Nothobranchius furzeri: one gene and its partner. The protein of the gene in region 1 binds, or shares a complex with, the protein of each later gene. Links are inferred from orthologs where the notes say so. Each region holds a gene or a part of one and is shown in the gene's direction. Other genes may lie near its edges.

Region 1 (4,646 bases):
TGGGATGTAGTACTGGTGGGATATTGTACTGGTGGGATGTAGTACTGGTGGGATATTGTACTGGTGGGATGTAGTACTAGAAAACTAGGTTTACATTTTGGACTGAACCAGGGGTGGGGCGTCTTGTTGCAGAAGAAAAAACTTCTGAGATAAGTAATACTAGTTTTTTATGTGACATGTTGTGTGTGACAACCCCAGTGTCTTCAGAACCAGTCCAGTGACATCAGACTGGTGTCAGAGCGAGTGCTGTGGTGGGTGTTCAGAGACCCGTCAGTGCCCCCCATGGATACCAGCCTCATCAAGCCCCTGTTGAAGAGTCTGCTGGACAACACCAAGGACAAGAACACCACCGTCAGAGCTCAGAGTGATCACACCATCGTCAACCTGCTACAACTCCGCCAAGGAGAGGAAACCATGCAGGTGAGCCTGTGTTCTCTGGGATTGTATTCAGACATGATCAATAATAACATTTCTGTGGTTATTATTCATTCTTACCTTTTTTACGTGACAGAGCATGACTGCTATTCTGGACTCTGCTAGTAATGAACTGCTGTCAGAATGTCACCGCCGGTCTCTGAAGAAGATCGCCAGCCTGCCAGACTCCAATGAAGAGATCGATGACACCATTTTGACATGATTGAAAAGGACTTGACAGTAAACTGAAATCTGCAGAGGTTGATTAAAATTTGACTGACACTGAAAACAAATCCTGAGTTGGAGAACCCCAGACACACTCGACACACAAGGGCTTTCCCTACAAATGTATCTTTTGTTTTCTCTAACTTTCAGTCTTCGTTTTAGTTGCCTTTAAGCCCCGTTTCTTACTCCTTTTTATCTTGTGATGTGCAGGTTATAATCCTGCACTAAACTGTAGTATTTGGGAGACAAAATGCCAAATTTGTTTTGATATGATCATGTTTTGTTGACTATTTTATCAAAATGATTTCAAGCGTTAAAGATGCCTCTAGGGAAACATCAGCCCTGTCTCTGGATTGTGTGTGACTTGTTTGTGGAAAGCAACTTTCTATAAGACAAACTGTACTTATCCTGGATACTGTTGTAAAAAGACAATACAAAATAAAGATTTCGTGTGTTTGAGATGCTTTCAGTGATGATTCTGGTACAACAAAACGATGAATCACAAAGACTTGAAGACCACAGGACAGGTTCAGCAGACATGATGCATAAAGCATGACACGATCAAAGAAAACTTGCATTAGGAGGAAGTTACAAACTCGGATTACTCTGTGAAGAAGTTGCATGTCATGCTGGATGTATTAAACACACCCGTGAGGTTACCTGGTTATCTGAAACACTAATCTCACACAGTCACAACAGCTGGATGCGTTTTTATTATTCTGATTGTTTTAGGAGTTGTTTGTGACATCGGAGGGGACGTGTGTTTGGATCATGATTCGACTGGGTACAATTCTCGGTAAACGTGGGCTTTGACACCTGTAGGTGTTGTGAATCGACTGGTCCGTGATCAGTCTGCTGGGACTGCCGCGCTCTGGCTGGAGCATGCGCAGTGACGTCGGCTCCTTTGGGCGCAGCTCCGCCAGAGAAGGAAGCGGAGTTTCCGGCTGTTTGCAGCGGAGGGTGGATTGCTGACGCCGCGAAACCCCGAAGAAAAAAAACGCCACCGGCTCGGGGTCTAACCGTCTCCAGCATCGGGTACCGAGTCGTTTTCCGTGTGCCGGGGGATCTGGGAGCTGGTAAATGTCTACGGTCTAAAGGGAGTCGGAACAGAAAGCTAAGCGAAGCTGCAGCAAAAGGCGGGGGATAGCCACCAGCTACCGGCATGGCCAGGGACTACGATTACCTGTTCAAGCTGCTCATCATCGGTGACAGCGGTAAGCCGATTTCGGGGATGTGGGACGGGAAGTGGGCCTTGTTGTGTTTTTCTTATTTCTTACAAGGTAAGCGAGAGTAGCGTTGCAGGGCCGAGTAGTTTACTGGCTGTGGGCTCTCACTTCGCTTCATATTTTATCCTTGAAAACGATGAGTGGAATGAACAGCTCCGCCATGTTTTAGTGCCCGTGACAGGGCGGAGGTTGTGTGACCGGACCGGGCATGTCAGGCCGGATAGCGCCTCCACAGCGTCGGCTCTGTCGCACCAGGGTCTCTACTTTTGTTCCAGTAGGCGAAGACTTGGTTTTAGCTCTATAAAAACTAACAATTTGACTAAATTACCTCCGTTAAAGCTCTTCCGCTTCTCTAATTTTCTCTGTTTGTGTCCCACATTAGCGATGTAATATTAGCTAGCAGGAAGCTAGGCTAACATCAGTGCTCCAGGCTGGTTGCTTTAAATAAACATTTACTTTGGTGTTTTAAAGTTGTTTAGCTAAGTAGTAGAGTTTTGTGTATGTGTCTGTAGAGTCAGCACGGTTTGGTGAAGCTGCTGCATGGGATGTGGTTTTGCTAGCAGGCAGGAAACTAAGCTCCTCCGTGGACCTTTGATTTGCAAAACTGTTTCTCAGCAAGCTAGCCGTTCACAATTGGTTAATTTCAGCCACCCAATCAGGTGCAGCTGGCCGCTGAAGTGTAAAAGCTGGAGTGCTGCTCCTTTAACGTGAAATCCTTTCACATCAGACAAACTCCCGAAGCCACAGGTGGATCCAGACCGCAGGTGTAATTATGGAGCCATTGCTGCGTCATCTAAGGCTCATCCAGCTGGAAGCCTTTTGATGCAACAGTGATCTTTGCTTCCATTGATGGCTTCAGTCCTGGCACTACTGCCGCATCAGCTGGCTATTCACTTTGTGTGACAAGGCAGCACTACGCACCCTTCATCACATCCCACACACAGCCTTAGTGTCCTCAGTCACATTGTGGCAGATCAGTTCTGCAGAGATCGTCTTGGGAGGAAGAAGACTAGACCTTCCGATTTTCCCTGCCCTGGATCTCCATCATAGGTTGGGGATGTTGTTCCTGTCGCACGTGTGCCTCCTGAGTACATCATTTATGTATTACAGCATTGCATTAGAAGGCCCTGCACACTGAGCGTGAAAGTCGTGTGTGGAGTCCAGGATGTTGTCAGTGTTTTGATTTGTTGGACAGAAAGTGACTCTCGATCAGGTCGGTGTTAGAGACATGGTGGTACATTTGATGTGGTTATTGTTGTTGGAACAAACCTGTGTGTGGAGATGAGACGAGTCCGTCTGACAGCTCAAACACCAGAAGTCAAACTGTCTGAAGACAGCACACTTTTACCTGTTGACTATTATTTTTGAGATTTTTTCTCTTGTTAACCTTTGATCAGCTCTCTTTGCTCTGCTAAGATCCAAATGAAGATGTTTTTGGAGCCCAGCTCTCCTGAACTCCTCCCAGCTCATTGTAATGTGTAAAACTTAATATGTGTAGAAGAACCAACTGTCTGAGTACGCAGAGATTAGCGCTGTTGACTCTTAAAACATGTTGTCGTCATCTGATGGTGCAGAGATATAAAGTGTAAAACCAAAATCTGACTCACAGTAGTGACATAGATCTCCCCAGAGCTCCCTACTGCTCTGTTTGAGTTGACCAGGCGGGTGCCACCGAGCACATCTACTTTTTTAAATGTGTTTGTCTTCGTTGGAAACTTGTTTTATTGTAATCTTGTGCTTGTTTCATTCTCAGGAGTGGGAAAGAGCAGTCTCCTCCTGCGATTTGCAGACAATACATTTTCAGGTGAGTGGTTCCACCTTTTGCTGTGGTGTGACGTCCATTTTTTCTACTCTTTACTTCCTGCTCTCAAATTCCTCTTCTTTGTTGTTTTCTGTCTGTTTTTTTGTGCTCGCATGGCTGCTCACAGGTAGCTACATCACCACGATAGGCGTGGACTTTAAGATCCGAACAGTGGAGCTCAACGGGGAGAAGGTGAAGCTACAGATCTGGGACACAGCGGGGCAGGAGCGTTTTCGCACCATCACCTCCACGTAAGCAGCCTCTTTTACGGGGCATTCTCATGTGGGTGATTAAAGCTGGAACCGTTGCATCAGAGGAAGGAGTTTGCAGACAGCTAGAGTACGTAGAGTAGGAGCTTTGCTGTGTGACTGGGTGGAATTTAGAGGTGTGAATCTTCACTTGTCTCTCGATTCGATTACGATTATTGGGTCAGTGGTTCAATTCGATTAGAAATCCCGATGCATCACGATTATTTCATATTGATTTGTTTTCATCGATAAATAGAAGATGTCAGATAATTGCTTTTCATTTTTATTTATTTACTTTTTATCAAACACGTAATTGACACAACCTGCCATCCCTCAAAATCTCTCCATTCACAACAGGTTAGGACAAAACATTTTAAACATTTAAGAAGATTTAACAAAGTAAAACTATCTGTTCCTCGTTCAACAGCCACACGTCAGGCTGAGAAAAACACGCTTTGCAAAAACTCACAAAATCTAAAAAAGTACTGAAAACCTACAGGACACATAACGTAATAATAAAATACATAATGGGTTCATACAGGGAGTGCAGAATTATTAGGCAAGTTGTGTTTTTGAGGAATAATTTTATTATTGAACAACAACCATGTTCTCAATGAACCCAAACAACTCATTAATATCAAAGCTGAATGTTTTTGGAAGTACTTTTTAGTTTTAGCTATTTTAGGGGGATATCTGTGTGTGCAGGTGACTATTATTGTGCATAATTATTAG
Region 2 (3,439 bases), on another chromosome or scaffold:
CAACACATAGAAAGGCAGTTTTTTTCTCTTAATGAGACCTTCTGTTGACTGTATTGACTGACAGTGAAGTCTGCAGGTGTTTCTGCTCAGTCCTGTAAGGCGCTGCGCAGCATTAATGTGGCAGGATAAAAGCCATCCAATCTGATCTACTGTTAGATCTCTTCCTTTAGCACAAAACTGAAAGAGTAACTAGATTTATTTTTCAAGTGTAAAGTTTACAACTGTATGTACTTGTTTCTTTTAGAGGGTTAATTTCTATCAGCTGTCAGGGAATTGTTTTAACACTAATAGTATCTAGACTAAAACCGCTCCCAGTATTCAGACCTGTTTCATCAAAGCTTCTGGCAATAATCAAGACTTCTGAATGACAAGATGCGTGGTGTGTCTATAAATCATTTAGTTTTAGATCGATTGGTTTTTTTAATGCACCAAGGAAAATATGCACATTCCTGATGATGGTTATGCAACAACTTCTTTCTTCTAACTGAACACTTCTCGTTTTCAGTCTTAATTTCCTTCAGGGCTTGTTTACTTGTTTTATTGATCAAACTTCTATTCTGTTTTTACTTGCTTGGTCAGAATATATATTTTAGAGCTGTTTTCTAAAAATAACTATGAGCTGTATTATAGATTTCCTATTGTACCTGCTGTAAATGATGTTTAATATATTTGCTTCTAGTCTGACGGACAGAATGAGCAGACTGGCTTCACAGGGATCGGCAGCGTGAGGGTTTCAGTCTTACCTGAAAGTGTTTACTTGTGTCGGTTTAGTGTGCTCGCTTGTTTGTAATCACATGAAATCCTAAATTGTAAGATGGAAAAACCTGTTGGTGCAATAGTTGTGATCGACTGGAATGTTACTGGATTTCAAATCGTAAGTGCAATAGTGTAGAAACGGTTTTAAGAGTGCTGAGCTTTTTTATCTTCTACTTATGTGAACCATGTGGGAGCTTTACAGAAGAGTGAGTACATTTAGATTTTCAGAGTGAATGTGGAATCATGCTGCTGACTGAAATGTTTTCCAGTTGCGTCTCAAGTTTGAAGCACTTTTATGTCTTAGAAAAGGGACAGCTCCCCCTGCTGGACAACATATATATATATATAGAGAGAGAGATGTCTGCACTTACACGTGCCAACCACTAGAGGGCTCACATCTGATGTTTAGGAATCCTGAGTGGAATAGCCTTCGTGGTCAGGTTTGAAATACTTGGACTAGAATCACAAACGATTGTTCATAATGTTTGTTTTTTGTTTTTATTAACAGCATTAGGGTGTTTGTTTTAAACGTGCAGATCTGTGTTTTTATGTTTAGAGAGTGGAATTGCTCAGCTGTGAATGGCAGGACTGATGAGGGATGTAACGAATGTAAAGGAGAACTAAACTCGTCCATCTTTACTCCTTTTTAAAAATAAAAGTCCAAAATTCCTTAGATAACGTTGTTTCAGTAAAAAAAAAAAGTGCAGCTCTGTGGTTTTCAGCTTGTTTCTGTATCCTGTGACCTGCTTTGATCTTTTGAAATGATTTCAGACCGAGACCCACTAAAGCTGAAACTTATCTCTGGTTTGTTTCCTCGCACTCCTCCCCAAAGTTTGTGCCTTTTTTTCTGTTCTGCTCTTTATTTCTTTGGGGTGTTGAGGCCAACACAACTGTATCTTTGTACATAAACTCCTGCACTTTAAACTCAATACAGTTGTTGATGAAAATCAAACGTCTGAGGGCTCTTCTTCCTGTTTCTGACTGTTCGCTGGCTTTTCTTCCACTTTCACTAGTTTCGTTCTTATTTTTACTACTCTGCATTTTTCTCTCTTATGCTTTGAGCCACTCCGACGCTCTTAACAGGTAACTCTTTTTATTTTTGTTTATTCCTGATAACACTTTCTCTGCATGAGCCTCCCAACTGGGACTCCTGGGGGGTTTAAGCCAGGGATACTCAATTCCAGGCCTGGGGGGGCCGGTATCCAGCATGTTTTAGTGGTTTCTCTGCTCCAACACACGATTAGTTGTTGAATCACCTGTGTAGCAGCTCAACAGGCTCTTGCAGAATTAATTACCTGCTGATTGAAATCAGGTGTGTGGAAACAGGGTTAAAACTAAAACGCGCTGGATGCTGGCCCTCCAGGACCAGGATTGAATACCCCTGGTTTAAGCTAACTCACCGCAGAAGTTTGTCATGTGATGTAAAAAAAGATGCAGTTATTCAGAAGAAGAAGAAATGAGATTATTTGGTGATTTTGGCAGTTGCTCATATGTGTGTTTCTTATTTCCAGGTGATGAAACCTACCAGGACATCTTCCAGGATTTCACCCACATGGCCTCGAACGACCCTGATAAACTCAACCGCTACCAGCAGTATGACGCGCAGAGACCCTGACCAGCGGCGCTCTGGTGAACATCTGGAGCGTCGTCCACCCCTGATGTGACCAAAGCTTCTCCTCATCAAGTCGTCCGAAAGGTTTAGTAGAAAACTAAAAGCACTTGGCCGAAGAGGACGACGCCCGTAGGAACGGTACAGCCGTTGAAAAGGATTCTTGTAAAGTTTTCAATCCTAAATGACAGAATGTAAAACGCTCGTCAGACGTTTCCTGCTTTAAACGTATGAAATGTGTCGGATCTGTAAAGGAAAAGCGCTCGATCAGACTCCTAAAACGACCGTTTCCTCTGTGGGATTTGTTTTAGTTTGTTAGAAAAATGCCCTCTGCAGGCCTGTACATACTTTTACTCTGGAAACAAACCTGTTATGATTCATTTGTAATTTTAGAATTTTTTATGCTTCTTTTTATACGTTTTTCTGAGAAATAATTAATTTTAAATGTTAGCATCAGCAATTTGTGTTGAAAGATTTTGGGATAATTCAGTAAGCTGTGAGTCCATCATTTCTAAATTATATTCAGCTGATTGATCCTGAGGTTGAAGCATCGTCGGTTTGTCACTAACAGCAAAAAGGATGGCATGAGACGGATAGATTATTACATCCTAGAGGGCGGGCGGGCGAGAGAAAGATAGATGGATAGAGAGATAGAGAGATAGATAGATAGATCCATCATTTCCTGTGTAGGAGGGTTTTATTGTAGCAGCAGCCTGATGCTTGTTGCTCTGCTCCTTACTCCAGTTTTACATGAATTCATAAACCATAAAGACACCTTTCCCTGGTAAACTGGATGATTTCAGCAACAGGATGATGTAAACAAACAAACATTAGATGGCCGTGCTGAAAGACCTCAAACATTTACTGAAATGATGATCTGGATGAGCAGCAAGCAAGTTCCTCACATGCAGTCAGCTTCAGTGGTGAAACTTCATCTCTAATAAGAAATATTAACACCTAGATCGGCTCTTGTGCAATAAAATGTGACTTTTCTGTTAAAACTTCATTTTTAGCACAAATTTAAAGACAAGTGGTTCGGCTAACACCATGTGGGATACAATTCTTGTACGTTCT

The links. Proteins that work in one complex are often made in the same cells at the same time.
Region 2: the proteins of rab35b (region 1) and acap2b are in contact, whole or in part, in a crystal structure (PDB 6IF3), measured with the Homo sapiens proteins. The link is inferred for Nothobranchius furzeri from reciprocal best matches to the Homo sapiens genes RAB35 and ACAP2. Residues at the interface, in NP_006852.1 of Homo sapiens: Arg3, Asp4, Tyr5, Leu8, Ile41, Gly42, Val43, Asp44, Phe45, Ile47, Lys58, Gln60, Trp62, Phe70, Arg71, Thr72, Ile73, Thr76, Arg79; in NP_036419.3 of Homo sapiens: Val715, Ala718, Asn719, Ala720, Asp721, Val723, Thr724, Arg727, Leu728, Arg730, Met731, Glu734, Met735, Ser738, Glu748, Thr749, Gln751, Arg755, Asp756, Gln759, Met760.

Annotation. Positions count from the first base shown.
Region 1 is NC_091757.1:28,062,611-28,067,256, forward strand, and holds the start of rab35b (ras-related protein Rab-35b), read left to right. Parts: upstream 1-1,572; 5' UTR 1,573-1,801; coding exon 1,802-1,853; intron 1,854-3,618; coding exon 3,619-3,669; intron 3,670-3,793; coding exon 3,794-3,917; intron 3,918-4,646. UniProt on the Homo sapiens protein: The small GTPases Rab are key regulators of intracellular membrane trafficking, from the formation of transport vesicles to their fusion with membranes.
Region 2 is NC_091748.1:61,554,883-61,558,321, reverse strand, and holds the end of acap2b (arf-GAP with coiled-coil, ANK repeat and PH domain-containing protein 2), read left to right. Parts: intron 1-2,267; coding exon 2,268-2,371; 3' UTR 2,372-2,598; downstream 2,599-3,439. UniProt on the Homo sapiens protein: GTPase-activating protein (GAP) for ADP ribosylation factor 6 (ARF6). Doesn't show GAP activity for RAB35.